2 linked regions of the Drosophila melanogaster genome follow. The protein of the gene in region 2 purifies or fractionates together with the protein of the main gene of each other region. This does not show direct contact. Each region holds a gene or a part of one and is shown on either strand. Other genes may lie near its edges.

Evidence for each region.
Region 1: the proteins of CG11095 (region 2) and CG8728 purify together in Drosophila melanogaster (affinity purification with mass spectrometry, with the first as the bait; one large-scale study listed by BioGRID). This does not show direct contact.

What each region holds. Positions count from the first base shown.
Region 1 is NT_033778.4:7,930,150-7,946,971, forward strand, and holds CG8728 (uncharacterized protein), read right to left. Parts: upstream 8,966-16,822; 5' UTR 8,807-8,965; coding exon 8,751-8,806; intron 8,667-8,750; coding exon 8,288-8,666; intron 8,227-8,287; coding exon 7,810-8,226; intron 7,754-7,809; coding exon 7,613-7,753; intron 7,560-7,612; coding exon 7,055-7,559; intron 6,995-7,054; coding exon 6,822-6,994; 3' UTR 6,717-6,821; downstream 1-6,716. Other genes in the region: PIG-X (phosphatidylinositol glycan anchor biosynthesis class X), read right to left, coding at 1-240, 303-451, 511-661, 705-727; rnh1 (ribonuclease H1), read right to left, coding at 980-1,075, 1,136-1,406, 1,462-1,697, 1,750-1,806, 1,859-2,200; drosha, read left to right, coding at 2,367-3,888, 3,947-6,271, 6,336-6,472; CG30380 (uncharacterized protein), read right to left, coding at 9,104-9,409; CG30379 (uncharacterized protein), read left to right, coding at 9,807-9,858, 10,835-11,064, 11,116-11,721; CG14764 (uncharacterized protein), read right to left, coding at 12,486-12,739; CG34430 (uncharacterized protein), read left to right, coding at 13,293-13,454, 13,515-13,748, 13,928-14,326; CG34431 (uncharacterized protein), read left to right, coding at 14,689-16,822.
Region 2 is NC_004354.4:13,805,443-13,821,040, forward strand, and holds CG11095 (uncharacterized protein), read left to right. Parts: upstream 1-6,241; 5' UTR 6,242-6,316; coding exon 6,317-6,603; intron 6,604-6,669; coding exon 6,670-7,234; 3' UTR 7,235-7,428; downstream 7,429-15,598. Other genes in the region: inaE (inactivation no afterpotential E), read left to right, coding at 10-33, 1,090-1,222, 3,839-5,731; Clic (chloride intracellular channel), read right to left, coding at 8,286-8,363, 8,433-8,543, 8,935-9,444.

The sequences.
Region 1 (16,822 bases), on a different chromosome or scaffold from region 2:
CGCAGCGGCATCTTTAGCTGGCAGTCCACGTGCACCCGCCTCCAGTTGCAGCGCTCCAGATTAGCCATGGTCGTGGGTTGGCCATCCTTGATATGGTTCTCGTCGAAACGGCTTTCCGGCGCATTCAGGCAGTACAGCTTATCGGGCCGGGCAACCAACTCGTTTTCGATGAGCGCACTATCAGCCATCGGGCAGTTGAGATAGAGCTCGGGTAGGGGTATGGCCACCGTTGCCGCCAAACTGTGAGGATTAATTGATTAGTCTAGTGGACGAAAGCAATTCAGACTTCAAGATCACCACACCGCTTATCACTGGGGGCATGGTAGCGAAAATGCACGGGCAGAGCCAGCGATTCCGTAATCTTTGGTGTACCGCGCAGTAAAACGGAGAAGGGCTGCGCCCGTTCCGTGGCTACTTCAATGTTGACGAACTTAGGATAGATGGCATTTAACTGGAGACGAACATTTTTTTATATAGTAACCCTTGTAACTAATTCCCAAGATAACGCACCCTCTTCAAACGCTGCAGGTCATCCAGTTCGTCTGTGCTTATGTAAACGGATGCGGGCAAATCCTGGACCAGCGCATACTCGCAGTCCTTGCCCACCAAGGGTATATCGAACCGCAGACGGTAATTAAGGGTCCTGCATAAACATTTATCACTTTAATTCAGGTAATCCATAAACCGCTCTCCAATATAAAAACCTGTGCATGCCGGCTTTTTCCATTTCCACGTGAACGATAGGTGGTTCGACTACATAACAATGTCCCGCGCCTCCCAGTAAGCCCAAAACCAAGGTGAACAGTAAGCACTGGTTATTTCCCTTGGAATGCATTTTTTGCAAACTAACTTATATTAAAAGCGACTGAAGTAAATTGTAAATAAAAACATTTGGACCAGGGCTGTCGCGTAACTAAAATTTATTCAGCGTTGCCATATCAATTACATACTAAAAATACGGTAAATTTAAAATAGCTTTTCAACCATTTTTCTGCTTATACAAGGCGGATCCTTGCCGCGCCAATTTGTCTGCCATTTCATTGCCCTCTATGCCCTTGTGGGCCTCCACATAGTTCTGGGGATATTAACTGAAGTCAAGTATTTTCCAGGACCTTATTTAAATTTAGTTACGCACCCATTTCACGGTGATGTTGTTCTCCTGAAGCAGTTTATCCAGTTCCTTGAAGTCAACAACGTTTTTAACAGGCTGATTGTTCTTTAGCTTCCAATCCCTTTTTTTCCAACCCGCAACCCACAGCGTTATGGAGTTGATCAAAAACTGAGAGTCTGTGCTGATGCACAGCTTCTGTATTCCCAAGTCAAGAGCTGTTTTAATGGCATGAATGGCCGCTTGTATTTCACCTACATTATTTGTAACGCGTCCTTCCACGGGCTTGGCTGCGTTTCTGCAAAGAACATATAGGTTAAAAGCAAAGTTATTGTGCTGCAGTTACCACTTACAGCTGGTGATTCTTGCCGAAATAAACGCCATAGCCGGCACAGGCTCCGGCTCGTCCGTTGCCTATGCAGGAGCCATCTGTGTACACAATGACATAGCCCTCTGCATCGATTTCAAACTGGAAGGCACCCACTTGCTTGAGTCCTGTGGCTTCTGAGACCTGAGAGGCATGACGTGGGATCTTGTTCCGCTTATCGCCGCTGGTTGTGCCCTTCCGCTTGCGATTGAGAATGTCTGGCTGAAAGAAGCTATGTTTAACTTTTTCTACAGTATGTACTACGGTCTCATACTAAATTGCTACTGTTAGATGGCTTTGGATCTCCCTCAACCTCGTTCATGGCAGCATTCTGAAAGGATGAAAGGTCAGGACTTTGCAAACGTATGTATATTCATGCCTACCAGATCATCCTCGGCTAGGTCGTGATCCTCTTCGGGCCACTCATCTGTGTACTTGGGGTTCTTATTCACTTCGATACTGTTTTTCCAACTGGCCAGTGACGCCTTTTCCTTGCCCAGCGGCACGGCCACATCCTGCGGAGCATACGACTTGCAGCCATTAACGAACTGATCCGCTTCCTGGCGTGTCTTAAACTTCTTGTATTTGGCGTTCTTGAAACCCTTGACCTGCTCCTCGCACTCTGCCCAAGAGCCGTAGACTCCAGACCGCCGCCCACTGGCTACAGCGTAAAACGCCATCGTGCAGCGTTGGAGGTTCCAGCAAAAATACCGCGGAAGTAACATAATTTTCTTACGTTGTCTATCGAAACATATGTGGCACGGCCTTGCCGGATGTGCGAATGTAAACAAACCGGTCGAGTTGCCAGATCATTCGAATCGCGGTAAAAGGTGTGGGTGGAAAAAAGTATAATTGTGGATTTTGCCAAAGATTTTCCCAAAACTTTTCGCCATGTACCAGCCGCCTTTGCCACCGCCTCCAGTCCAGCCTGCTCCTCCGCCCCCGCCACCTCCGCCAGAAGAAGATCTATCTCCACCGGGAGTAGGTGTTCCCTCTCACAACTATTCTTCAAATGAATCCCATTCTCAGAGCTCGAAGTCTTTGGATTACGTCTACCCGGAGACACCGGCTCCTTATGCCAGCTCAGTACCTAGCTATGATCCGTACCAGCAACCACCAGCGTACGGCTACGAGGGATATGCTTACAACGAACAAGCACAGAAGTATGGTGGCCAGGAGTCCCATTACCAATACCAGTACCCGGCATCCGGATCATCATTCCTCTATGAAAGCTATAAATACCCAGACCGCTATCCTGCTTATTCGTCCAACTACCGACCTCCATCCGAAAGGCAGAGGTACACTTCCAACAGCTCCAGTCAAGGCTACCACCATTATCCCGGCTATAGCTCGGGTAGGCGGTATGAACAAAGACATGATCAGGAACACCGTCAAATTCAGGACAGTCGATATGCCCACGAGCCACGACACGGACACTATGCCCACAGGCAGGCAAAGGGGTCGCAACACGGATACTATGGATCTGCAGCCAGAAACCAAGTCAGCGATGACTATTCGCCACGTGGCCATCACGAAAGGGAGAGAAATGAGACCTTAGAGAAGACTAGGGCCAAACCGAAGGTGGAGACCGAAAGGGACCGTCTGTTGAGACAGTGGTGTTCTAACTTCTGCGAAAAACCAGAGGACTATGTGAAGAAGATGAACGCCCTCAGCGAGGCGGATGCGCCAGTCGAATCCTGGGTGCGATCATCGCCAGCGGAGCTCTACTACGAGCGCACCAAGAGCGAAAACGAAGTCAGAGGTCGGGCGCGTCTGCAAAAGCTGTGCACTCTATTCGATGAGGAGCTCCTGCAGAGAGCAAAGCGTGTACGCGAGAAGCTACCCGTTTACGTGCCGCCTCCAAGAAAGGCTCGCCGCCGTGTTTGCAAGCATAAACACAAGTCGGAAGCCTGCTCCTCGTCCTCCTCATCCGATGACGACTCCGACGAAGACGCTTTTAAGATCGAGCAAGACTGCTGCATGGAGGAGCTTTCGCGCAAGGTGCAACATCCGCAGCGTGTGCACGCGGATCTCTGGCACAACGACGCCGGTGAGATGAACGACGGACCTCTTTGCCGCTGCTCAGCCAAGTCCCGGCGCATTGGCATTCGACACGGCATATATCCGGGCGAGACTGGCTATAAGTTGTGCGATCCAAACAGCAACAATGCAGGCAAGCTGTTCCACTACAGGATCAGCATCTCACCGCCCACTAACTTCCTGACAAAGACACCCACCATTATCAAGCATGATGAGCACGAGTTTCTATTCGAGGGCTTCTCACTTCTCTCGCATGTGCGTCTCTCCGATCTGCCCGTCTGCAAGGTGATCCGCTTCAACATCGAGTACACCATTGAGTACGAAGAGGAGAAGATGCCAGAGAACTTCACCATCCACGAGCTAGACATTTTTTGTAAGTAAAATTGAGATTTTTCTTTATAGGCATTACTTACATCTTATCTCAATTTCAGTCAAATACCTGTTTCATGAACTGCTAGAGCTGGTAGACTTTAATCTAATGCCCAACTTACCGTCCGGAAACGTCGAGGAATCCTGCCCAGCTTTTCACTTCTTTCCGCGTTTCGTCCGCGACCTGCCAGATAATGGAAAGGAGGTTTTGGCCATGGTCGAGGTACTCCGCTACTTGCTGGATAATTCTGCACAGCTTGTGGAACGGCAGCAACTACTGCATCTTAACCAGATTAGTCAGAGCGAGTGGCAAAACTACGTGGACTTCATAAAGGGAATGCTGGTCACCAAGCCGGGTTATAAGCCGTGTTCGCTACGCGTTGACCAATTGGACAGGAATAACTCCGATTTGCCCGAGTGCGTAGATCGCGAGACTGGAATCTCACATCCAGCAATCGTGCACTTTGGCATTTGTCATCCTCAGCTAAGCTACGCTGGAAATCCAGAGTACCAGAAGGCGTGGCGAGAGTACGTTAAGTACCGTCATCTGATGGCCAACATGTCGAAGCCCTCTTTCAAGGATAAGCGCAAGCTAGAGGAGAAGGAGCAACGTCTTCAGGAGATGCGAACTCAGGGGCGCATGAAACGAAATATCACAGTGGCGATCAGCTCGGAGGGCTTCTATCGCACCGGCATTATGTGCGACGTTGTGCAGCATGCCATGTTGATTCCTGTCCTAACTGGTCACCTTCGCTTTCACAAGTCGCTGGACCTGCTAGAGGAGAGTATCGGGTACCGCTTTAAAAATCGGTACCTTCTCCAATTGGCGCTGACGCATCCCTCATACAAGGAGAACTACGGTACCAATCCGGATCACGCCCGTAATTCGCTGACTAACTGCGGAATTCGTCAGCCGGAGTACGGAGATCGCAAGATCCATTACATGAACACACGCAAGCGGGGTATCAACACATTAGTGAGCATTATGTCCAGATTTGGCAAGGAGCATGAGACTGTTTCGAACATAACCCACAATGAGAGACTAGAGTTCCTCGGTGATGCTGTAGTAGAATTCCTCAGCTCAATCCATCTGTTTTTTATGTTCCCTGAACTGGAGGAGGGTGGTTTGGCCACTTACCGAGCGGCAATTGTCCAAAACCAGCACTTGGCTCTGTTGGCCAAAAAGCTGCAACTGGAAGAGTTTATGCTGTACGCACACGGATCCGATCTGTGCCACGAGTTGGAACTGCGTCACGCCATGGCCAACTGTTTTGAAGCCCTAATGGGCGCGCTTCTATTGGATGGTGGAATCAAGGTGGCAGATGAGGTGTTCACGGATGCACTCTTCCGGCAGGACGAGAAACTGCTGAGTATATGGAAGAATCTGCCGGAGCACCCGTTGCAGGAACAGGAGCCACTTGGGGATCGCAGCTGTATTGATTCCTACCGTGTGCTTAAGGAGTTAACCAAATTCGAGGACTCTATTGGAATCAAGTTTAAGCACATTCGGCTTTTGGCTCGCGCTTTTACCGATCGCTCCATTGGTTTCACCCACTTGACCCTTGGGTCAAATCAGCGTTTAGAGTTCTTGGGCGACACAGTGCTGCAGCTGATTTGCTCGGAGTACCTATATCGTCACTTCCCTGAGCACCACGAGGGCCACTTGTCCCTGCTACGATCCTCATTGGTCAATAATCGCACTCAAGCGGTGGTTTGCGATGATTTGGGAATGCCGAAATATGCCGTGTATGCCAATCCCAAGGCTGATTTGAAGACCAAAGATCGTGCCGATCTGCTGGAGGCATTCCTCGGCGCCCTGTACGTGGACAAGGGTCTCCTGTATTGTGAACAGTTTTGCCATGTATGTTTGTTCCCGCGACTTCAGTTGTTTATCATGAATCAGGACTGGAACGATCCCAAGTCGAAGCTGCAGCAGTGCTGCCTCACACTTCGCACAATGGATGGCGGCGAGCCGGACATTCCCTACTACAAGGTGGTGGAGGCCAGTGGTCCAACTAATACGCGGGTATACAAGGTGGCCGTTTATTTCCGCTCAAAGCGGCTGGCCACTTCAAGTGGCTCCTCCATTCAGCAGGCGGAGATGAACGCCGCTAAGCAGGCGCTGGAGAATTCAAGGGACCTGTTTCCCCAACTGGATCACCAAAAGCGCGTGATCGCCAAGAGCATAAAGAAACAAACGGGCAACGAATTGGACAACGACAGTGATCGCCAGCATCAAGAAGAAAAAATCAAGCGGCCCAAATATGCGACACCGCTTCAGGATGAGAGCCATCTTCCTAAGCAATATCGCATGCACGAGAACATTTCCAGCGATGAGTTGCCGGAAGACGAAGACTTCGAAAGCACTGCTCCCAAGAGTCCAACAAGTAAGTTAATAGATACGGTGTGCTGTGATTAATAGGTATCTATAGGTATCCTTTTCGTTTCTAGTGCCCTTAAGAAGTAACAGAAGTGGCAGTAGTAGCAGCAGCAGCAGCAGTGATAGCGATGGCTCAACCTCTTCTCCGAAGTGCAAGCGCCGATTAAAGAAATGTTCCTCGGTGTCTTCAAAATCTTCGCTGGGATGAACAGCTTTGCGTATGCTATAGCTATAGGAGGCCCAAATTGAGTAAGACAATCGTGGGAGCGGTGTAAAAATGTAATGGGTTATCTTAATGAATCGCTCATTTAGTAGATGCAATTCTCCCCTTTGCTATCAGGACATCTTACTTTCTAAGTAAGATGTTAGAGGACAAAAATTTGCCTGTCTCTAATTGTCGCCTAATTAAAAATACCATTAAAGCAACAAATAAAATAACCGAGTCGAATTTTGGGAATTTTGGTTTTTAGCCAATTTAAACTTAACACGGTTGCCCTTCGCACAATATTGTAAACAAAGCGAAATGATATCCAATGGAGGCGGTCTCACACCCAGCGCTATTTGAACAAGGAAAGCCTACGTCCCAGCCCGGTACGTCCTGAACCACTGACCGCGTTGGTGATGTGGCTCATCTCGGGAAGATTGTGGATGTCGCCGCGGGCGGCCACAGAAGGCGGCGAGCTCAGGAGACGTTGAGCAACGCGTTGGATATCGGCGGCAGTTACACTTTCTGTAATATGAATTAACGAGTTAAATGATAGCATTAATTGATTAATTAAGATGCTTTTACCAATTTCCTTGATAAAATGCTGCGGTCGTTTTCGCTGCCCCGTCACCAGCACTTGGCGGCCCACGTCCTCGAACACAACGGGTCTCGACTCCAGGTTCATTAGTAACATGGACTGAAGCTGGATCTTCGAGCGCATTAGCTCTTCACGGCCTGGCTCTGCGGCCATGCCCATCATCTCGCGGGTCAGGACCTCGACCATGTCGTTCATGTGCTGTGGCGGTGCGCTACCGTGAACACAGAAGAGACCACAATCGCCGTAAGCATGATTGTAGGCCGTGGCGCTGTACATCCAGTGGTAGCGGTTTAGCACCTTGGTATACAGGCGCGAGTACATGCCCTTGCCAGGACCGCCTGCGGAGAAGGATCCACCACCGCCCATCATGATATTCAGGACGCACAGGGGAACGAAGTCCTTGTCCTGGTGGGAACAGCCTTCAAATCCGAGAATTACATGGGCCAGCTCTGGTAGCCCAGCGGCCGCATAGATTGGGATTTCGCATTGTTCCTATGGGCAGTTCATGTTTATTAAGAAGTTAATCAAAGTATTATTGCACCCACCTTTACTAATCCGCCAGTGTATTGTGCAATAGACGTATCTACTTGCTTAGGTCCCGAGTCCTCCAGGGCTTCCGTTTCCCAGATGGCTTTGTCCTCCACAAAGTATCTTTGCACATGGCTAACCAGCTCATCATGATCCACCTGAAAAGATATTCTTTAACTGAAATCCGAGTACAAAAGAGATTTTTTACACTTACGCCTACACCAGCGATGACCATGCGCTTGGGAGAGTGATGGTACTTAAGGTAGTTCATTAGCACATTGCGGTTTATGTGGTCCAGGTTCTCAAGGGGACATAGCTTGGGCAGGCCCAAGGTATTGTCCCTGAATGCTGCCGCGTGGATCATGTCCATCAGTATTGGCTCCTGCTCAGGCCGCATGCCCAGTGTCTCCAGCTCAAAGTTGACGGCCCGCCTGGCCAGACTCACCTCCTGGTCGCTAAGTGTGGGCCGCAAAGTGACGTCCGCCAGCAGACGCGTCACGGAATCAATAGCCCGGCTGTCGATGCTGGCGGCATAAATGAGCGTGTCCCGCGAGCTCTGACAGTCGCAAATGCCTCCGTTCTTCTCCAGCTCCTTAAGTATGGCGTCCTTGTTGGGAAAGTTGACTGTGGACTTTGGAATGAGTAGACGGATTAGCCGAGATCCTACATTACATAAGCGCAACTTGGCTCACATTAAAAGCTAGCTTTTCGAGAAAGTGCGACACGCCGCTGGGGTAAGCGACTTCGTAGCGCGGCCCGGAGTCGATAACCAGGCCCACAGTGCAGAACTGTCCGTACCGCGGTTCCGAGGCAATCCGCAGACCGTTCGGCAGCGTCGTTACCTTCGTAATGGCGCTTTCCGCCAGTGGAGCTGCGTAAACGGCCTCCGGCAGGTTGGGCAGTGGCTCGGTGAGAGGTGGCAGGTGGGTGACAATCTCCTTGGAAGGCGTGTTCACTTTCTGTGGCCCATCACTTGTACGCACGCCGCCGGTGATCTGTCCGATTCCTGTGCCACTGCCCACCTCGTCGCCACCCAGACTGGTCACCTTGGTGGCCATAAGGCGTGGAAACCTGCATTGTGTTTGGAGATAGGGCACTTATTAGATTCGCCGGCTCCACAACAGCCCACTTTTCACCACTCCGCGAGATTCTTACGTGCGCCAGGTGTGCCTGAGCTTTTTCAGCATGCCGATGCTGCGCCCGTTCATCATGTGTTGGTGATTTGGGTATTATAACGGTATTTACAGAATTATGTGAATTATATTTGAATTTGATTCAGAAACACATTTTTTTACGCTTTTAAACGAATGAATTTCGAAGAAAAAAATGTTGATTTCTTCTTCTTGTGCTCTAGACATAAGTGTCAATCACACGGAATATTAGGGCTGCATGCCTGGCAGGGTTGCCAGCTCACTGCAGTTCGATTTACCGTTGAGAAAATAGATCGTTATATTTTCGTTTTCAAAAAGGGGCTTTATTTGCGAATAATACAGATTTTAAAAGCGGAACTAATCGAAGTTGAAACGCCTCTTGCCGTCGAACCTATAGCCATAGGCCGCCGCGTTCTTGGTGTCCACTAGCGCTGGGTTCCGGTGCTTGAAGAAGCTGCCATGTCCGTGTGCGGGTCGCGATGCGCTATTGGGGATTCCCTCCACCTCACGGGGATAAAAGGCCTCGAACATCCCCTCCGGTGGCAGGCAGCACTCGGCTATCTTAGGATCATTGGGATCGTAGGCAGCCACTCTTCCTGGTCCCGAAAGTACGGTCAGCCCGAGCACAAACAAAGCCTTGAGCAATAGCGCAGTTACGCTCATTATCGCACAATTGCACTCACACGCGGGCAATTAACTTTTACTTTTAGCTGACGGAACCCGTTTAAGTCCGACTTCGTGTGCCGGTGGCTTTTGTGAACTGAAGTGATATTGACCAAACGATGGTGGATATATGAACACATATTGGACCTACATACATATGTAGGCATGAAAGCAGTTGCTTAAGTCACCACATGCGAAAATCAGCCGCTATTTCGCGGCAATCGCGAAAACTCTGGCACCGCTGCCCCGAAATAAAACCGGCATCTCAGTTTCCATTCCTCCGGCTTTTCTTCAGTTCGAAATACGGATACATACACTACTTATTTTTCTTATTAGTTCCCTAATTGGGCTCTTAAGATTGCCAGTCGCCCTTGGAAAAAGACCAGACGCGGCAGACATGGATTCACCTAAAAAAGAAACAGGATTCCTCGATAAGGCTTCACTGTACGGTAAGATCTTGAAGTTAAAAATAGAATTAATGAAAATAATGTGTTTTTTTTGTGTAGAAGAGCTTATACAGAAACCTTTTCTTAGATATACAAAAAATCAAAAAGTTTATACGAGGATTAAATATATATCTAGACTTGTAAACCATTTATTTCGGCGTCTGTATGTGTTAGAACATAAGCGGTCTGAGTTGAACGATAACTCATATATGTATGTATGTAAACATGATATCCCAGTTGGGACTCATTGGAGAAATTCATCTACATTCAATGTATTATTTATTGGATTAAAAATATATATGTAAACTTTTTAAATTGTTTTAAGAGCTTTATGCTTGATTAGTTGCTTGCTTAAATAATAAACGAATGTTTGTTGTTCACTAAAGAAGATTTACGTATGAATAGCAAGCAAAACAATCAGCATGTCCATTGATTCAGATTGTATTATATATTATAAAAAAAAATTTTAATCTTTAACTTTCTATTGACCTAAGATATAAATTAAATTTTTCTCCAACAATTTGTCTATTCGGACCATTCACTAAGAAGTTATAATAGAAAGAACTAGTCGCTAGGTGGAGCCACTTATATACTTGCTTTGCTGCTGTCATATTGGAAATTCGAGTTGCAGTGACGTATAAAAGATGGTCTAGGTCCTTGAATGTAGCATACTCTTTGGCTATATGTTAAACCTAGCTCACACTCCTTAAAATTGTATTACATATATAACTCTTTTGCAAGGTTGCATTTTTTTGTTGCTAGATATTTTATGACATTCCAAGCAATTCAAAATTTGATTTAATTAAGTCGATTTTGTAAGACCCATTTCCTTTAGTTTGGTCTCCTTTATTGTATTTAAAACATCATTCCATCAACACACTGCAGAAATGTTATTATAAGGCTTAACTTATTAACTTGTCACGATTCCTAATATTAAAGTTTAACCTTTTTTATTTTTATTGAAATGAATTTTTTGCAGCGTGGTTTAATTTTGTCCCATTACCTGAAAACTCTGACCGTTACCCACCGATTTCTTTGTCAGCCCCTCCTACGGAAAACGAGTCCCAGGACACGAATTCCGATCCAAAAGATGGCGAACACTTGGTCGAAAATGGGATGATTTCCCATGATTTGATTGTTAAAAGTAATGTATTCGAGGATCCCACTATACGCATGGGATTCGTCCGCAAGGTTTTTGGAATCCTTTTGGTGAGATAGACCGATTCAGTGGAACATTTTATATGTATGTGATTCTTGCAGGCCCAATTACTGTTCACGTTGGCTGTGATAGCAATATTTTCTTACCACCAACCCACCAAGGACTTCATGCATGAGAACTTCCTTCTAGTTCTTGTCGCCATGATCGTTAACATTATCGTTTTGAGCACAATCGTTTGTGTGGAGAACGTGCGACGAAGGCATCCTGTTAACCTGATTTGCCTCGCTCTTTATACCTTCACCATGTCGCTGCTCCTGGGGACCGCATCCAGCCAAATGGATTCCAATGTGGTAATCTCGGCCGTGGCCATTACCACACTTCTAGTCATCGCACTTTCCATCTACGCCGTGCAAACCAAATACGATTACACAGCTGCTGGAGGGGTCATATTGACCTTTGTGATAATACTCATAGTTCTATCAGTGTGTGGTGTTTGGATGCCCGATTTCGTAGACAGCCTGCCAATAACTTGCCTATGCACCTTTATTGGCTGTTTTTTTTTAATCGCCGATATGCAGTCGATAGTGGGCGGCAATCGTTCGGAACAGTTGGATCCCGAGGAATATGTATTCGCGGCTCTCACTCTGTACGTCGATGTGGTTCGCATATTCATTTACATCCTTCGAATTTTGGAAAAATTTTATTAGTAGAGCTAATCCTAGTCACAGCTCTTGAAAACAATGTATGCTGTTCTTCTTCTCAAGCTTTTGCAGATATAACCACAATCAGCTTTACAAAAAAATGTCAAAAAGTGCCGTTAACAAACCAAAGATTTCCCTGATATTTAGAATTGGCGAAGCCAGAAAAAGAATGTTACTTGGTATTCGTAATTCAGAATTTTATTAACTTACTTTTTGGCTCGTCTTGTTCTAGGATAGTTAAATTACATTTATATTTATATTTATATACTGTATATGTTTGTCTACGCGTGAGTAACTATAAAATACAATCACAAAATGTATGCCATTTGATGTTTTTATGTATTTACATTTGGGATAGTTAACTAAACAGGGGCTTTTACACATATCGACTCTCGCAGCAAAAACACGGGGACATTAACACAGATTTTCATGTATGTATATTTCATTAAATAAGTAATTAGGGCTGCACTAAATTGTAATAAGTATTGATAAGCTGCACATAATTACGCTACGCTTAATTACTGTGCTGTGTCTGTTCATTTCTGATCTTTTCTTGGACGCCAAGTCATCTGTCTATATCTGTTCAAGTGGGAATCGGTTACCCTTTATCTAATTCACATCAATAACTCTCATTTCCTTCGATATTCCTAGTAATCTCAGTTGGCTCCGTCACCGCCTGAGTGTATCCGCTTGTGTGGTTGTCGGTAGAAAAAGTTATATCAAATGCTTTGGCCACGCTCTCGTCCAGTTCGATTTTTAGGTTTCCCAGCTCAGTCGTCCGTGAAAGGATGGTCGGAGGTTTCGCTGCTGTTGCGCCGCCTGCTCTCCAGTATACGGGTCGCCTGCTCCAGGCTTTCCTTGTAGAATATGTTACGCGGACTGTCGCCGGGCAGCGAGTATTCAGAGGTGTCCATTTGGAAAGTTAGGCCCAGCACGATGTTGAAGGCGGACGCATCGTAGCCGTGGCAGCCAGAGTATCGGAACATCGGCTTCTTGTTGAACTTGCAGCCATTCGATTGGGCACCTAGTAATATAAAGAAAATATTATTATACGTTTTACTTTGCTCCGCTAGGATACACAAAATATATAAGATTGGAAGCGAATCTAGCCCCCGATTTTTCCTATGCTACACATCAAGTTTTCTATATTTAATCAACAGGGAAATGTAAGGTCGAGTGCACCGACTTTTGGGTACCCTTAACACTGTTGAAAAAATTCAAGGGAGGCGGAGATAAGCTAGTAGCAAATTCCTTCATAGCTTCCGAAATTCTTAAATATATGAGTTATATAGTATATCAATTTAAAGCAACCATTTCCATGAGCATTTATTTGAGCCCTTTTTCTACAGAGCGCACAATTCATAAAAAAAGATTACTGTTAATAATGGCTAATCAATATGTGTATATAATCGAATTATTTTAACATTTTTTCTTTGTGATTGTATGGGGTGTTTATGGAAACAGAAATGAAAATGGAGTAAATTAGATAAACGATTAACTGGAAAACTGGCCTTATCAAATAGAATAATATAAATGGACATTAGGCGGCGGTAGTGTCAGCTCAGTATGATGATGAAATGGACGCGGTATTGGTAGTGGAAAAATCGGAAGTCCCGGGCATCGCTGTGCAATGTGACCTCCTTTTGCCCAACGGTCATTTGCAAAGGACCTATGAATTCGACATAGCCGATGTTGGAATCCGACGGCGCCTAGTGCGCCGATTCTACGGCATATTAATCGTAGGTTATACAGCTTCCATTTTCAATTAAAAAAGTAATGTGGTAAACTCAACATTGCAGCTACAGATGGCCTGCACCTTGCCCTGCATTGAGTTGTTTCTCAAATATCCTTTGCCATACAACTTTGTTATGCCATTATCAATGGTATTCACTGTTTTTCTGTATACGTGTTTCTACGTTTGGAGAGATTGGAGGAGACATGGGCCTTTCAACTACTTTGTACTGCTGCTGAGCACATTGATTGGATCCTTCAATAGGAGCGTATATCTACTTAATTTGGTGGAGACACATTGGGTAAGTCAGAGTTACTCCATTAGGACATCACAACACATTTGGTTTAAGTGAATAAACTTGAGTCATGTACGGAGATAGAATAACTTTGCTATCTGTATTAAAGTGATATGACTTCTTGATTGCATGTATATACTACTGTTAATATATATACTGTTGATTACTTATGTTTTGTATTGCAGGTATATATTTATCCAGTCATTCTCATTATTGAAATCTTGGGTCTAATGCTGTATTCCTCCCAGAAGCGTTTTCGGTTTACCCAGATTCGCGGAATTTCCATAATCAGCCTCATCTTTGGGCTGTTCCTCCTCCTGGCCTACCGACTGAACCGGATGATGGAGGTCTTCTCCGCAATGGCCTGCACCGTGGAGGCGTGGTACATAATCTACGATACACACTACATGCTGTGCGGCCGACATGGCTACAACATTGGACCAGAGGAGTTCGTCTATGCAGCATGCAACATACACTGCGATCTGCCAAAGGGAATGTGGCGACTGATGAAGATGCTTTTCTTCAGCAAAATTGTCGAGGCCGTTCGCATGTTCCGTGAATGCTTTAGGACCGAGGTATGCTGATGGCAACTTAGTTGGCTTGAAAATTATTTATTTTTTCGGTTAAGTACTAGCTGTCAAAATTCTTCAATAAAGCCATTCTATCTCAAAACATGCCAGTACTTTTTCAAAGCCTATCAAAATCAACGCTTAGTCCAACGCTTGGAGCCAAGCAGAAAATGTTGTTGAGGCATGCTCGCAAATATTTTAGCAGGGCCAGGATAAACGCTGGGTCAGAATACTATAAAGTACCCCCAAAACTTGTGAATGCAAAATTGAAACATCTTGCCACACCTTTGGTTTCTCCTAAAAAGGGCAGGAATTTACGAGATTCGAATACTCCGAAGTGGAAGAGCTTCAAGATTCACATAAGCCAACTGACACAGATGTATACTCCTAAGGAGCGTGAGTTGAAAAATTCAAAATCAAAAGAAATTGTCCCTAGAGCGAGCGGAAAACAATTAATTGACCCAATTAAAATCGAAAAATACAAGATTAAACCCCCAATGAGTCGTCCTGTACCTACAGCAACGCATTTAAGCTCAAGAGCACCTGTCGTGGGCCTTCTTCATGGACTAATTAGCAGGTTTGTCTTTACCCAAAAGCGAACCAAAAAACTGAAGAAAAGAAGTCTGCTTAATAATCTCCAGCCAAAAAAAACGTGTAAAAGGAGCATCGTTAACAAATCTAAACTCTTCAAATTTCCCTTAAAAGATCAAAAACGGAGGGAAAATAAAGTAGATAATAAACTGAAAGAAGTTGTTTCAGTTATGCAGGAGCTGGGCGAGTTTAAGGGTATAAAGACTCCCAAAAAGATGACGGAGAAAATGCATCGAACTATAAAGAGCTTATCCCGAAGCGCCCTTCACTTCCCAGCCGCGCATGAAAATCTCTCAAAGTACAAAGTTTCAACAAGAGAAATACAACGCGATACAACATACCCTACTGAACCATTGAAGACACTAGTAAAGAGAATCAAAAGCACCGAATTTAAGAATGAAAATCTATCAAAGTACAAAGTTTCAACAAGAGAAATACAACGCAATACAAAATACCCCGCTGAACCATCGAAGACAATAGCAAATAGAATCAAAAGCACAGAATTTAAGAAAGGAAGTCAACTTAATCTCAAGCCTAAGAAAACGTATAGGAGGAGCATCGTTAACAAATCTAAACTCTCCAAATTATCATTACAACATCAAAAACGAAAGAAAAATGAAGTGGAAAATAAACTGAAAGAAGTTGTTTCAGTTATGCAGGAGCTGGACGAGTTTAAAGGCATAAAGACTCCCAAAAGGATGATGGAGAAAATGAACCGAACGATTTTAAAGAAGTTTTCCGGAAGCGCCCTTAATTTCGAAACCTCTTTTGGAGATCTTTCAAAGTACACGGTTCCAGCTAGAGAAGCGCAACACGATTCAACATATCCTGCTGAATCATCGAAGACACCAGCAAAGAGAATCAGAACCAACGAATTTAAGATGACCAAATCATCTGGGAACAAAGGATTTGATTTTAAGCTAGGCAAAGGACTTAAAATCCACGACTATGGCTTCAAGAATCTCAAGAAGGGAGTTTCAAATCAAGATACTATCCATGATTCCAAATCACACACACCAAGGGAGGCAGAAATTATTTCTAACCGCAAAGCCTTCCGTACCATGGACACGAATCTGAGGAATTTCACTAGACAAACTGCTACTAACATCTTTCTTAACGTTGACAGGCTGAGTGACAAAAAAGTTGGCTCAAAGTTAGAACTTTTGGAGCAACTAAATCGATTAGAGACCTTAAAACACGGAAATAGCGACAATTTTGAGTACTTTGAGGAATCTGTTTCGCCGTTGGGCTATGAGATTTCTGAAAAATTAAATAGAACATTTGCGTCGATCAAAAGAATAAATCAGTCCAGGGCGAATGCAGAACTGTTTATTTTAGACGACAGAGATTCACCCATGGACTTTTTGACTTACGATGACTATCAAGGAAAGTATGTTCCCTTGGCCGAAGAGAAACCCCAACCACCCAATCGTCGAAGAAAGAAACGATCTAAACGACTTTTCGTTCCCAAAACTGACGCAGGTACACAGACTGAATGCGAGTGTGAAATTTGCTGTTCGTTGCAAAAGTATAGGACTGAAAAAGTATCACCTTTGCTAATGGAAATGACAATGAAAAGAAATTTTTTGAATCAACGACAATACTATATGGAAAATCTCAAGAAAAGAAAGTTAAAAGCACCTGTTTCAGAAAAAAGGGAATTAATCTCCATAACTAAGCCCAATCAAAGCGATTGCGAAGCGAAACACAGAAGTCACAAAGATGTAAATTTGTATTCTCGTTACCCCAAAATCATTTCCGAAACCCTTGAGAACCTTACATCCCCCCTTCGATTTGAAAACTACACACGAGAATTATTAAAGGCTTACAAGGCACTCGATGTGACAAAAATGATATCACGCTGTTATCAAACACTTTTTGAAGCCGAGCAACGAACGAATGGAATATTTCCAAATACCT
Region 2 (15,598 bases):
GTTTTTCAGGCAAAAATACGACAGTGGTTGGAGGTAGGCACACACACAGACCCACCAGCCCATCAACACTCAAAACTACACCCACATCGAAACACATTTACACACGCACACACCTACAAAGCGCATCGCGCACAGATGCAAGATACAACCGAGCACACGCATCCAAAAGATTGAAAGATGAAGAGCTTGAGCAGCGCTGCCGTAACTCAACTCAATCTCTGTCTCTATCTATCTATCTCTCCTGCCTCTCTCTGTCTACATATGTCTATTCCACTCTGCCCGTGTTTATGCTCGCCCTCTGTCTCTCTCTCTCTCTCTCTCTCTCTCTTACGCACACGTTCTTTGTGTCTTAGCTTGTTTGGTTTGTGTGTTGACTAGTGAACGACTGAGAATTTTATAGATCTATTTATTCTGTTAGAACACTTTCTTCACATCCCATTTTGGTTAATCTTTGTTGCATGAGACAATACAATCACCGAAGCATGCATCGTCCCATTGCCTCAAATGAAGCTCTCTACACGAGCTGAACTCTCATCTCAAATAGATCAGTTTCGCTAAAGAAGGTTGAACAAAAAAAAAAGATCATGAGTTCAGATGAGAATTCTGCCTTTGTAAAGAGGTCCTTATATCCCTCTCTCGGTGTCGCTCTCTCTCGCTCTCGCATATGAGCTGGACTATTATCCTTAAATTTTTTGTGTTTGGATAGATAGATCGTGCATGATATTAGACCCGAAAGTTCATGAAGACAATTCTTCTAATGGCCGGAGTCATGGAAATTCTTTCATTAATGAACTCTATATATGTTATGAAAATATTTATTCCTGATAGATATGTAGCGTTGAGTTTTATTTCCCTATCATTCTCTAATAAATCAATTAGATATCCAATATCGATTACACAATTAATATTTATTAGACAAGTAGAGATTACGTGTTATTGAAACAAATCAAATTGAAAGAGTTTTCTGTGACAACTAAATTGGATATTTAGTTGGCCGGAATTTGTGTAATACCTTAGTTCGTAGATATTTAGTTAGTTTAAATAGCCCAAAAGTAAACTATTGCAATAAAGCTCTTGTGTATTTTGCAGAAATGTTCTGAAAAATCGGGAGCCCGTATATCAGGCAATCTGGGCCGATTCCACGGACTTCGATGAGGTGCTCATCTCGCCGGTGATGCTGCAGGATCACATGCCCGACAAGGTTCTCGCCGCCCTCAAGAAGGTAATTGCCGAGTTCGACGACGAGCGCGGCTTCTCGGTGCACAGCTATTCCACAGCCAGTTGATCAGATCCGGTCGAATGGACGGACGGACGGCAATGGAATCGATTTGAATATGGAATGACTGATCGTTGACACCCCTACACCCTCCCCCACGTCGTCTTCGTCGTTGTCCTAGAACCGTATATAGTTTAACTATAGCCCTATAGCATACATATCTAGAGTACGCAGCACCGATCTAGTTAGTTGATTCGTCTACTGTACTGTGCTGTTCTGTACTGTACTATACCGTGCCCTTAGTCTAGCCTTAAGGTCAGAGGTCACGAACGGTGAACCGCAATCCGCAGTTCGCCAAACTTATGACCACAAGCCACAAAGCAACCAAAACTCACAAACACAAGAGCCACGCGAACGCGATTACCACCCACACAGTCATGACAAGCATATTTACACCGATGATGCCTATTTATCTATATATGTAAACTCAATTATGTTAAACGTTATCTAGTCTAAGGCCAACTATCGCTTATAATTTCAATAATGCTAAATTGTTCGACATTGATTTGTTTATATTTATTTATTGCCCTTTTTGTTTTTGATATATAACAACAATTTGCTTTGATATGTTTGTCCAGAGAATGGAACCGATACTTAGCCAGCACTACACACGTATAACCAAAATCCAGTAACTCTATTGTATTTATCGCTGTGTTAGGCATTGACAATGGACTTTGAATGTTTACACATATGCCTAAGTTAAATTTATATTTATATACTTGTATTTTGTTTATGTGGCTTTGTCCATTTATTGTTTAAGTTGAACAGATGTAATTTGCATTTCGTTTTCAAAATCTCCGTGTTTAAATCACGCTCTCCAAATATCTCTTATATATTTTCACTTTAAAGCGTAAACTGTTTGTTTTTTATATGACGAATATACACACTTGTACTACGTACAAGTACATGAATATGATTAATTCTTTAATTTATTTCTTGCTTTTAAATACATTTGAAATCGGTAATGGTGAATATTTAAGTATTTGCACATCATGTTCTTGTAAGTTGCTTTGATTACTACACCAGAATGTCCAGTTAATCCCGGTCTTGTTGGATTGAAGATGTTTAAGAAATTGCTCCGCTAGATGGAAAACAGTATATTATTTGGTTTTTGAAAAGCCAATATATCCACACGATCGATTATGATTTTATTTAAGTTCTTTTTGCGAAGATTTGATTTGGTAAGTTTTTTAAGTTCAACTTTTATGCTTTGACTACAAATACACAACATAACCTATCATACTATATACCATACACAACTCCTTTAAAAATATCTGCTGCATGGGAATGGTTGTTGTAAAGCTTAAGGAATGGCAAAACAAATACATATAGTATGGTAGATGAAACGTATTGCCTATTTTGCGCTGAGCTGGGAGGAGACCCGATCCCGTATGTCTGCTAGTTGCAATGAGAGAGTAGTGGATCAGGCTATAGGATAATCCCTTGAGCGATTTTTCCACCCCGACCCCATCCTTGATGATCTGATTCAGATCACAGTTAGTATATGCGACGAACTTTTGTAAACCACTGATGTATTTAATTATGCTTTTGTTTTGCTTCTTTTATGGAACTTAACGATTATCGATAACTGATAAACGAATACCGATTTAACCGATTTGTATGTGACCCGATCATCCGATGATGTGCACAGGTCGTGTCTTGTAGAGATCGAACCGTAAAGGCATGTACCACTCGTAGACGTAATGATAACACGACAATAACTACAACTACAACAGTTACAACAACAACTACGACAACACAAAATACAGATACCAGGTACAGCCGCCCGCCTTCTATATAAATTTGTTATCATTAAACAAAAGACTAAACCAACTTTCCATTTTGCTCTCGTTAAAACCAAACAAAATTTTTAAATATGTCAACCGAATTACAAGTCTCTCTCTCTATCTCTCTCTATGTATATTTCTCTCTCCCGCTCTCAACCTAACCTCAAACAATAAAAAAAAAAACCAACAACCTATCCAATTTTGTAAACTAAACTCTCTAAATGTAATCGTACTCGCTGTGTATGTACAACGAAAACCAATATCGATATTGTGTCTCGCACCCGTAAGCTCCCACCCACCCTCAAACCACACCTCACCACAGCGAACTATCGAACCATTAGCAATTCTACCCACATCCTACTCGCTTAACTTTGACGTAACTGTACTTAGTCACTCCACTTCACTCGCTAACTGCATCTGCTACTGTCTCTTTCCACTCTCGCTCATCTGTGAAACTGTACATACATGCATCCCACTCTCGCTCGCAACATCTACTCGTCTCTTTCTGCATTTATATGTAACCACCAGTTGTGAAGATCAGGATTAATTGATTGCTTGATCTGTTTCGATTATAGATTAGAGAAAATAACTGCAGTCGAAAAAAAAGGGTATAAATGCCAACCAAGAAGAAAACAAAATATATATATATTACGAAATCAGACCTATCAATCAATCAATCGGTTTAACATTTCAGTAGGACCACAACATAGATCTAAGTTAAATGATCAAGTACAATCAAACACTGATCCCCACCACTCTCGCTACTCGCCTTTAGGTTGTAACAACGAGTGGGCCACGCAAGCCGCAGCGCCAGACCTCGAATGCATTCTCCACCGGATCGAACGAAGCAGCGCACGATATGGACCTTGAACCGCCGCATTGTAGCGGCCACAGTGCGCCGACGGATGCCATGAGATTCGAGACGCGAACCGATCCCGGCCAGATGCAGAACTCGATGTCGCAGTCGCAACACTGCAAGCGACTCTCGCAAAGTTCCTACACGAACCTGAGCAACTGCCTCGTCCTGACGCCGACCGCCCAGCACAAGCTTTGTTTGGAGACGTCATTCACCAACGGATCGACACCACACCAGTCCGGTGTACAGCCAAATCCGCGGCTCACGTCGGCGGCCTCGTCGCTCCTGAGCTCGGCAACCACGCCGTATGACATATCAAGTGCTCTGGACGACAGCCTGGCCACAGTGGCGCTGCGGCAAAGCCCCTCGCTGATTAGCGCTGAGACGACGGCTACAGTGATTGTTAATCCGGAACCGGATGCTGAGGAGATTGCCATACCACAACGGCTCAAGGCGGTGGCCTTCGATATGGCGCTCACTCCGCCGCCAACGCTGCCGGAGAGGTCCATGCTCGGTCGTCAACACTCCGAGAAAAAGCCACGTTCTCTGCCGCTGGCCCAAGTCCAGGCCCTTCGTAGAGCTTCGGATGCTGGTGCGGTACCTGGAGTGGATTTACTGCACGACGACTGGTATGGCCTGGCCCCACTGGCCAGTCCCGAAACGCTGTCCGAGATCTCGAGCGTCTCCTCGCGAACCAGCGTACCCATTAGCCTGGCCAACAGCATTGAGCGCTATCTGCAGCACATGGGCGTGGGCGTTGGCGGTCCGAAGGTGCCACTCGAGGACATCTTCGAGTCGCAGCTGCATACGCCCAAGGTTATGAGGCGGGCGCCCAAGTTCAGCGAGAATCTTGCTGGCTGTGCAGAGGACACCAGAAATCTGGATCAGTACAAACGGCTGGGTCGTGTGTTCATCACCTTTCCGCGCATCTTTCCGGATCAATCGCCAGCGGCGCATAGTCTGGACTCCAGCGACGATAGCTTTGAGTCTGCGTCGGCCCACAGCCTACAGAGATTGCAGCTGCCGCACGGTGCCAATGCGGTGCAGAGTTCCAAGTCCGCCGATCCGCTGGACGGGGATCCCGATGCGACGAGGCAAACGCAGCCCGCCAAGAAGTTGACATTCAGCGATAGCGATATCCTGACGGACGCGGACTGCCTGCGACTGTGTCCACACTGTCCCTGCGATCGGGATGTCCAGCGTGGCTGCTGTACTCGCTCGGAGCACGGGAAGTGCGGCACAGAGATTTCCGGGGGTTGTGGTGGTGCCGCCATGGGATTGGGCTCCACAGATACTAGTTTCTACAGTGCCAGCTCATCGCTGGAACAGTTTGCCACACCGGCTCGGCAGAACGGTGGCACTGGGGCGTCTGGCAACCACCTGGAGGAGATACTCATACGGCCCGGCGTGTTGGAATCGCATTTTCCCGTTCTTGGCGGTGGCAGCGCGATAGAGACACCGGCTTTGGTGGCCCCAGCCTCACCATCGCCGCTCAGCAATGGCAAACGACCGGATGTGGTTGGTGGCCGGGTGAGGAAACGGCTCTCGTCCGAGGAGTTCGTCTTCTCCCGGAGCGAGGATCTGCCTAGCCTAGTACAAATCGGTGATAGGTGTACCGGCTCTCCGGCGGGACGACGTCGGGCCAAGGGCTGCGTCTATCCGGCCGGGAATAGTCTCCGTTTGGACGCTGCTGCCGCTGTCGCCTCCGCTTCCGCATCGCCCACGTCCATTAGTAAATTTACCCGCACGCGCGTGGCCGCCGGAGGATTGGCAGCCAAACAGGCTGCCGGCAATAACGAAAGTAACGTTTAATAGTTGTAAGTTGCAAGCAGTACCTTCACCTGGACACACAGATGCGATTTCAGCCCAAAGTCGACAATTATGCCGTTGCCATTGCTTTCACACAAGCGATACATACACAAAACCAGTTGATTACAAATTAAAGGAACTCACAAGGAATCTAACATTTTGCATACCGATTACCTAAGGAACAACATTTAGCATTAACACACAAGCGTTTACTATTAACTAAATGCAATATGTATATTTATATACAGATATATAAATATATATTTTTTTGTGCAGCCAAGCCCCAAGCGACGAGAAATTTTAATAAAACGTTTTAAAAAATGAATACTCTGTAATGTCGTTGATTAGGAAAATGGCACAAAAAACTTCAAACTTTAAAGTGTAACGGTTTTTTGCTTAGTTGGAATATGGTATTTTGAAAGTGGTTGAGTTCACCGCACTGTTAACCGCTAACAGCTCACTGTGGCGCACAACAGTACACTATCGGCTGTTAACGGCTCTGTTTTGGTTTTTTGTCCAATTCCAAAGTTCGTTGCGTTCGCATTTGTTTACATCATTGCTCGATTCGGTGTTCTATAGCCAAAAACGATGTCCCTGATTGCCCAGGCGAGTCGCACAGTGCCGCAGCTACTGTTGCACTTGAACCGCCATCTGGTCACCTCCTGCTCAAGCGCCGCATCCGCCACGTCCTCGAAACCGCCGGATGTCGACCAGTCGATCACTGCCGACCAGCTCCTCGGACCGGAATCGCAGCGCAGGTGCATGGAGAAGATGCGCAGCCTGCCGGCATTCCCGCGTCCCAAGGCGCTCACGCCCAGTCGCCGGGAAAAGCAGACATCCGCGGTTCTTATCGCCCTCTGCCAGGAGCGCGGCACGTCAGTATAGCCAGTTAAACTAGGAATGCGACCATTTGAATAAGCTGCATCGCTTTGCTCTTTCAGGAATGAAATATCCCTACTATACACCCGACGATCGCGACACCTGCGCAGCCACAGCTTTCAGATCTCCTTTCCGGGCGGAAGGCGCGATGATCACGACTCGAGCTACGTGGACTGTGCGCTGCGCGAAACAGAGGAGGAGATCGGCCTACCGCGCCATCGCATCCAGGTGTGGGGCGAGGCCAAGCAGCTACAGCTGCCGAGGACCTCGTCGATTGTGCCAGTGGTGGGCGTGGTGCCGGACTTTAGCCTCTCCGAGCTGCGTCTCAACTGGGAGGAGGTGGAGGAGGCGTTTAGTGTGCCGCTCACTTCGCTAATGCTGCCCAAGGCCACCAGGCACACACAGTTTCGTAGCGGCTACAGCGGTCCAGTATTTGTTGTAGACCATTATCGCATCTGGGGCATCACCGGCTATCTGACGCACCTCTTCCTGCACTGCCTGCTGCCACCCAATTTGCTGCCCGATTGCCTCAAGACGAACATCAAGTTCATTCGGCCCTTTAAGCTACCGCCCAAGCTGCCGCATCATCGCGAGCACTCCGCCGGGGATCCCTCGATGCGCACCTGACGAGACATCCGCGATCCGCCGACCGTAATCCTACTCAGGCTAGCAACAATCTGGTACTGTGATTGGGCCAAATGTGCTTCGCTCGAACCGAACAATTGGCCAATTCTGATGGTGTTCTTTGTTTTAGTGTACGCGTTAATTGTTAATTCTCGGAGAGATTTATAATAAAACTGTTGACCATTATGTTGAAATCGAAGAGGAGCTCTTTATTCGAGCTAAGACGATGCCATTTAATGATTTATATCTTTGATAAGGCTTATCATGAAATGAACATGTTAAGTAAAAGGCAATAATTGTCTTTTTGTGTTTTTTTTTTATTTGTAATTTTCACTTAAATACAAAAAATACTCTTCATTTCCTCCTCTAATTTTCTTTTTTTTTTTTTTTGTTTTGTTTTTCTTGTTATGATAAAATAAAATATTTAAATAAAAATTAAAAGCGAACAAAATGGAAAACTTTCGCCAGGGAGCAAAAAAAAATTCAAAATCATAATTTTGCAATAGAAAAAAAAGATTTGTCTTCGAATACAACAAAAAAGCTCCTTGCAGAATAAAAAATTATAAATTAAAATAAACATTTTAAAGGAACGGGAAGCGCTCCTTCAGGCGATCGATACATTTTAATTGACAGCGAGCTACGTAATTATATTCATGCGTTTGCCTGTGGACATCTGTATGTCAAACACAAATGTTTTAATATTAATTAAGCAAACAAACATGCAGGCGGGCCAAGTAAGTCAAAGCCTTCTCGATAGATTGTGGCTGGTGTTTCTTTTTTTTTTTTTCCAAATGGGGTTTAAATTAAGCATAGCTGAAGAAAGGCAACGCGGCTGCTTAAAGAACACTTGTTGTTATGCTTGTTATATATAGTAGGTTTATATATATATTTATATATAATATATGCATGGGTAGTTATATCCGTTAAGTATACATCTATGTATAGTCCTCAGAGTTGCTGCTGTTGTAAAATTGTCCAAAATATTGTGGTTGCGATTGCTGTATACTATTAGTTGATGTGTGGTGTGGCTGCATGGATCTGCTCCATAGGAAACCTACTCCGAAATATCAATTGGAATGTATGTGGTAAACGTGGGCGTCTCCAGCTCCTCGTGCTTCTTCATTTTGAGACTCTGCAAGCGGCAAATGGAGATTCTAGAGATTGGAGCCCAGTAAAATTGGCACAATGGCAAGTTACGCACCTGTTGCAGCTTGTAGTGATTGATAATGTCCTGGTCGGCCGGGCACGATTGTGTGAAGGCGTCCAGCTGGTACATGTGATACATGTAGCGCCACAGGGCCGTCAAGTGCGTCTGCAAGGAGTCGGATAGTGAGAACGTTGAGTCATTGATACCTGGTCGGGTTGGCTTATTCATTCGATTCTGTAGCTGATGGCTATAATTGGACTTCGAGCGGCAATAACGAAAATGATTTAAAGCCCATTCACAATCAAAGTTATACAATGTATTAGCCTTAGATTGCTATTAAATCTATATTGCAATACAACTTATCACATTCATTCTTGCGCTATTAATCATTTAGGCAAAAAGTCACAAAGCCACTAAGTCAATATTTGCCCACTGCTTTCTATTCGCAAATAAAGTCTTTATCAGCAAAAGTTTTCCTGACTAATCCATTGGCAAATACGATAATGCAGTTACTCCTGCTGTGGCTGTGATACCCTGGAACACCCCCACTGCTTACCGGGATTTCAAAGTCGACAAAGTACTTGCCCGCCACACGGATGTGCTGCAGGCGCGGCATCAGCTCACAGTCGAAGCAGCACATGGTGTCGCCGGTGAGGAAGCGCGTGTTGCGCGCGGACAGATGATCGTTGATCTTGCGCAGATGCGAGAGCAGGGCGTTGTTCTTGGCCTCGTCCTTCTTTACCAGCATCAGCTTCAACTTGACATACAGGTTCTCGATCAGGGTGGCCACCTCCTTGTCCTGGACAAACAGATTGTAGCCGCCCGGTATGTTCTTCATGATGTGCCGCTCGATCTTTTCGTTCTCCAAAATGGCCAGCCCATTGTCAATGAGGATGGGCGGGTGTGTGGCCTCAAAATTGGTACGGAAATCGGGCGGCGGCTTCTGCATATCCACCGTCGTCACCTTCAGGCTGATCGTCTTCAGTTCGGCCAGTAGATATAGGTCCATGAAGTACTCCTGGCAGAACAAACAGGCGCCCTTCCGCCTGCCGTCGATGGTCGAGGCCTGCAAATCGAAGCGGAAAATGTTAACCAATTTAGTGTCTCGGGGATTCGGGGAAAGCAAGCGTTTTTTTTTAATCAAAAAGTGAGAGGGGTGCGAAAATGTTTACTTGGCCATTTCGATAAGTTGGCTTTGCGGCGATACCATCAAGTGTTAATGTGGGTCACATTCCGGGGACTGGGCATTTTTCCAGCGATTGGACATTGCCTCCAGTCCACTTAATGGACACATAATGGCACATCGCGTGCCGGCAATTACTGATAAACGCAAATCAAACAGAAATTTAACAAAATAAGACAACATAGTTTTCCATTATGATCATGTGACATCATCATCATCATCATCATCATCATAATCATCATAACCATAAACGTTCTGCGTTGTTCAACAGCCCAGCGTGGCGTGATGAGCCATCGAGGTTTGTTTGCTCGCCATTTTTTTTTTTTTTTTTTTTTTTGGGGGACCGGAAGCGATCCAAAGGCAAGACAAGCGACGTCGAGTGGACGACGACGATACTAGCCAAGCCCGACGAGAATTCTGCATCGCTGCACTGCCAAGGCCAGTGGAGGATAGGCAGATACATTTGTAGCTACACAGATGGGAAGATAAATAGTGAGACGGCAAGGCAATGCCAGCGCCACAGGCTACAGTGAGCACTGACTAAGTTGAGTCAAGTCTCTGCATTTGCATTCCAGCAATATCAGCCGCCGATATCACAAGTATTTACAGATTAAGCATATTTAGCACACCCTGACTATTTACGTGATTATTTAAAGCTGCCAGTGGTTTTAAACAAAACAAAAGGCGGAAATACTTTAATCTTTTTATGCGATTGTGGATATGATGAAGAAGTTTAGTAAATTTAAATGGAATTTATATGAGCATGATTTGTACATATATTAATTTGAATTTCGCACTGCAACCTGGCGGTTCTACTTAGCCAATATCCACTGTAGATCGATGGCATTGCTGCAGCTGAGAAGCAGCTAAAGCCTAACAACACATCACACAAATGATGACGATGATGTCATCAGGCGTGCGGTGTGTGAAGTTTACTTGTTGATTGCCGTTGCCAGCCTTTTTTGTATTTGCTGCCCATATTTAACCCCCTCCCCCCCCCCCCCGCAAAACCATTTCTGCTGGCGTCGACAGCCGGCTTAACTTCAAATAAGCTCCAACGCCAGGCGGCAATCAATGTGCGTTTATATGGCACTGTGCATATTTGTATTCGTTAGATAAGCCAGCCTGCACTGCTGTTTTCACACATTTTGCCACTACAGCACAGAAACTGAAGAGAGTTAGCAAATCTACTGGCTGCTCAAGAACGAGGTTGTCGTGGAGCTGGGGCATTCTCCAAACTCCACAGCGAATCCATGAATTTAGCTAAATTGTTTGTGACTACACGGATACGTATGTATCTATAAGTATATGGTTATATCTATTTTTATACAACCACATCGTTATGGGGTTATGAGTTAAATATGGTTACGGTTCAACACTTGCCAAATACACATTTGAAATAAGTGATAAATATGATAACGAGGCGTACGCAATAATTAACCACAGTTAACTTCGGTTTGTAAATTCAATTTAACGCACCAATTGCAGGCAATTAAAATATTATTTCGAATGCGAAGTTAATTAGCATTGCCCTGTGTGTTAATGGCTTAATAACGAAACCCAGCCAAACCAAACCAAAAAAAAACCCAACCCATTTTCCAGCCCACATGGTCGCAGCATAATCAAACTATGAAAGGCAACAACAACAACAAAAAATAAACTACAATGATTGTGGGAGCGGTATTCGTATAATTTTGTATCTTTTTTCATTCCGCCGCGGTGCTTAAACGGTTCATTTGTATTCTTTCGCACATTATTAACTGTGCACGTTCGTTTACCTGGTCTACGCACATCCATCCATAGCCCATAGCTCCAAGCTCCATAAATTCCCAACTGACCCGGATTACTTTCAGTCCGTCGCACATATTCGTTCCGCTCGTATTTGTATCATATTTTCTTGGCCCGCATTTTGTTGACTCGATTTTTTAAGGCCGCACTAATTGTTGGCAATACATTCTACAGCTAAGCGCAATCGGTTTTCGTTGGCGAATACAAGTACGAAATTTTTACATAAAACTATTGCTTTTGCCATTAATTGCTAATAATATCGCATTACAATATTTTTGCCATCTCTAGCGAGCATTGTAGTTTGCAATATGAGTTGCACAAATTGAAAATGGGAATTGCAAAATGCAAGACTAAGACGTGTGGCAACGTCGAAAGGTCAGTCGAAGTCAGTCAGTCAGGCAATCATCTTGAGCTACAGACACATATACAGATACAAAGTATATGGCAAAACTATGGATACAGATACATTTACAGATAGAGATACAGACACATAGACGGCGGTTGCAATTGACTTTTTCAAAATAGAAATGACGAGAGCAGGCAGACCAAAAAGCAGTTAGCAAATGTCAAGTGCCATTCACGTACATATGCTTCAAATATATGTACATATATATACTTTATATGGCCACATCTGGCTAATAAAAACTGCCGGCTAAATAAATACCTAGCCAATATAAACGTTCGTCTTTGAATACGTTTTCGTTTTAGAAAAATAAGTTGTGGTTTTTGCTTTTTTTTTGACTAGCCACAGAGGCGGTGAAAATCATAGATTTTTCATTTATTTAACTTTTAAAGTTGATTAATCTACCCATCTTATCGACCATGATTTTTGCATACTAACTAACTATTCGTGTGTTGGTAAAAATGCTTAAACAATTTTATGGTATTTCAAAGTTCGTAATTTTAAGCCCTATTATTTTGTACGCAATCGTACATGGATATATTTATATGTACGCACACTCAACAACTTCGATTTGTTTTCCTTTTAATTGTAAATTCGTGGCGCGATAAGATAGGAGGGCGGAAAAGTTAAGTTAAGTCAAATAAAATGAAATTCGTAAGCTTTTTGCGCCAGCGAACAGAAATCGTAAATGTAAACGAAAATGAAATTGTTGGAAATAGTGAATGCCACAGTCATGTTTTATTTTATTTATATTTTTGTTCTTTTTGTTTCTATGGGTTGGGGATGGGTTGTTTTTATTTTGGGAACCAGTTCGCTGACAGCTGCAGCGCAATAATTTAATTTTAATCATGATCATGATGTTGGGGGCAGATGTCAACCTTGAGAAGAGCGTCGATTCGATTCTTGAATGCCGGAGTTCTTTCTATTGGGCCACATAAAAACACAGATACATATATGTATGTATGTATGTATGTGCCATATCTTATCAAAAGTTGGGCGGCGGAAGTTATCGCCGCAGTTTGTTGGTGATGATGATGGGGCCTGATGAAGTAATAGCCAAAATAATAGAAATATAATCAGGCCAAGTGGTCGCATGGCAGGTGAAGTCAGCCGGCATATCTTGGGCCACAAATTTTTAATGGGCTAATGGGTTTTCCAATGCCTATTCGCATTTCCCCCCCAAAAACCTATGCCAAGGTGTATTCAAGAATTACGTTTAAATCTTATAAAAGCATAAGCTATGGATTATTAAGAAGCATATTGCACTTAATTCAGGTAAATCAAAAGAATAGAAAAAACGTTGGGCAAGTAAAAGTCATAAAAAATATACGATGTGAGTTACGAAAGGAAGTTATAAACATTAAGATAGGGAACAACAACAAAAAATACCACTGATTGTCAATTAGAACGAATGCACTTCAGTTTTGGAGTAAAGCTGGGGAAAATTGTGGGGGCGGGAAATTGTGGGCGGAGGATGTCAAGCCTTTGCGTGTTTTTCTTGGCTAAAAAGCCAGTCACACAGCAATGCACACACACACACACACGGAGAGAGAACGTGGGGGCGTGAATAAAACAAGAAATCAACAACTCAACTGTCACTTTTGCACAAAAACACAAACCATAGAAGAGGCAAGGAAGACACGTACAGTGGTACTTAGATTGGATGTACTTCCTTACTATAATCCATATATATATATTGTTCGAACTTATCAGCACTAATTTCAGGCATGTCTATTACTCTAAAAATAACCTATATAAAGCAGTAATAAACAATAAATTAGACAAAGCATTATGAAATTCCTATTAGTGCTTCAAAGTATTTCATTGTATTTAAGTTTTTAAGCCAGCTTTATATTGCATGCCCACTTATTTAATTGCAGTGTGTAAAAAGCGCCTTACTAAGTGCAGCTTTTCATCTTGACTCTTTGCTGCCGTTGAAGTGACAACAAAGAAGCGCATTTTCCTCAACTTAGCACAACTGAAGCCGCAACAATCGCTTGGCGTTCAGTTGCAACAAAAGGCGCTAATTTAGCTCAAGTTTGCATGAGATTCATCCTTGGGTGGAAAGGTTGCCCCATAGAAGGCCATTGTGTGTGGCAAAGAAACGAGTACTAAGTATTTGCAATAACACCAAAAATCTTATTTTATAATGCTCACTGTGCTCAAGCATTTGATGGATGTGTCAAAATTAGGTAGCTAATTTTCTTCGAGTGCATTGGCGATCGCCTTTTGTTTTGATCGGCGCTTTGTTTTGATTCGATTCGATGGCTTGGCCAATTTCTGGAAATCTCGCGTGGGCGATGACTCCGAGGGTAAGGCATTGGCTTTGGCTTTGGCTTTGGGTTTTTGCTTGTTTTCCAAGCCGAAACCGAAACTGAAACCAACACCAAAACCAAAAACCAAAAACCGAACTTGGAGCCGCAGCCAAAGCCAAAGCCAAGCCAAGTCAAGGAGGCGGAAAAGCGCGCACGAGAAAAACCTGTTTAGCGTTCAATGATTGTTTTGTTTTGCAGCAAACGAAGAAACAAGAAAACACATTTGTATTTGTTTGTTGCCTGCACGCGCGGAACAGAGAGGCATGCCACGATCCCCAGCTTACATACATATATAGCTGGATCCACTGCCACACTCGCTCTTCTTGAACCCCACAAACTGAACAATACCAACAACACAGCTTTCCTCGGCGGCGGCAAATTGAACTTTCACTTTTTCGCTGGGAAATTGCTATGGAAATGGAAACGTTGGGCCTTACATGGAGTGCGTTGTTATGTCAAAGATGCTTCTGTCACTCTTCTGCTGCAGTTTAACTATTGCTTTTAACTGGCCAAAAATTCAGGCAAAAATTAGAGAAAAAAAAAAAAGAAATGAAAGGAAACAGGTGCTCCCAAGCACTTTCTCCCACGAAAACAGGAAAAGGGAGCGGGCCATGGATCATTGGGTTTAAGGGGGAAATGGGGGATGGGTTTCGAAAGTGTTAGGACCAAAAACTTACGATCATACGATATGAATAGAATATAGCTACTAATTTCAGCCATTACATATCGTATTGCTGTTTAATTTGGAAACAAAACTGGTTACGAAACCCTATTCGAAGTACACGATTGCTCATGTCAGTTGTTTAGCGTCGAGTGGGGTTTTTTTTTTCTTTTTCTTTCGGGAATCGAATGGTATAACACATGGTATATTGTACTGTTTGGGTTTAGGCAATGCAAAGGTGAGGGAAATTACTCATGGGCAGACGACTCGAGGTGCGGTCTCCATTTGCGTGGGCTGGATGAGTGGCCAAGTTGAGTCGAGTCGAGTTTGCCAATAGAATCAACAACAGCAGGGCTCCAAAGTGTTCCGAAAACAATTACAATTACTTCGGCAAACAGTGGGAACCAACAAAAGAAACAAAATTAAGTGGACTCATGCTCGACTTACAATTCCGGGGAAAGAAATAGATTGCGGCCTCTACTATAATACAAAAAAAAAAACCAAAGGGTTCGTAATCTTTCTTTGACTCATTTTGCAATAATATCACCTTTAAGAAAGATGCCAATGAACAATTGTTTTATCACATGTTTTTTTTTCCACTATCGAAGAACAGAACTGATAAGAAAAGCGTTGTATTCGAGGAGAAAAAATCGAACAAGTTTTTATTATCGATTATTTGTAATACATAAAGAAATAAAACACTACATATTGAGCAATCTAAAGTTAAGTTCTATGATTTAAATTCATTTAATTAATCACACTTTAGGAATCTTGGCTTCTCAATGCTATTATCTTGACCGCAAATGTGCGGAGTGCTAGCTTTTTGTTTTCTTCGATTCTTTGGAGGAGCATGACGTATGTGTCAAGAAA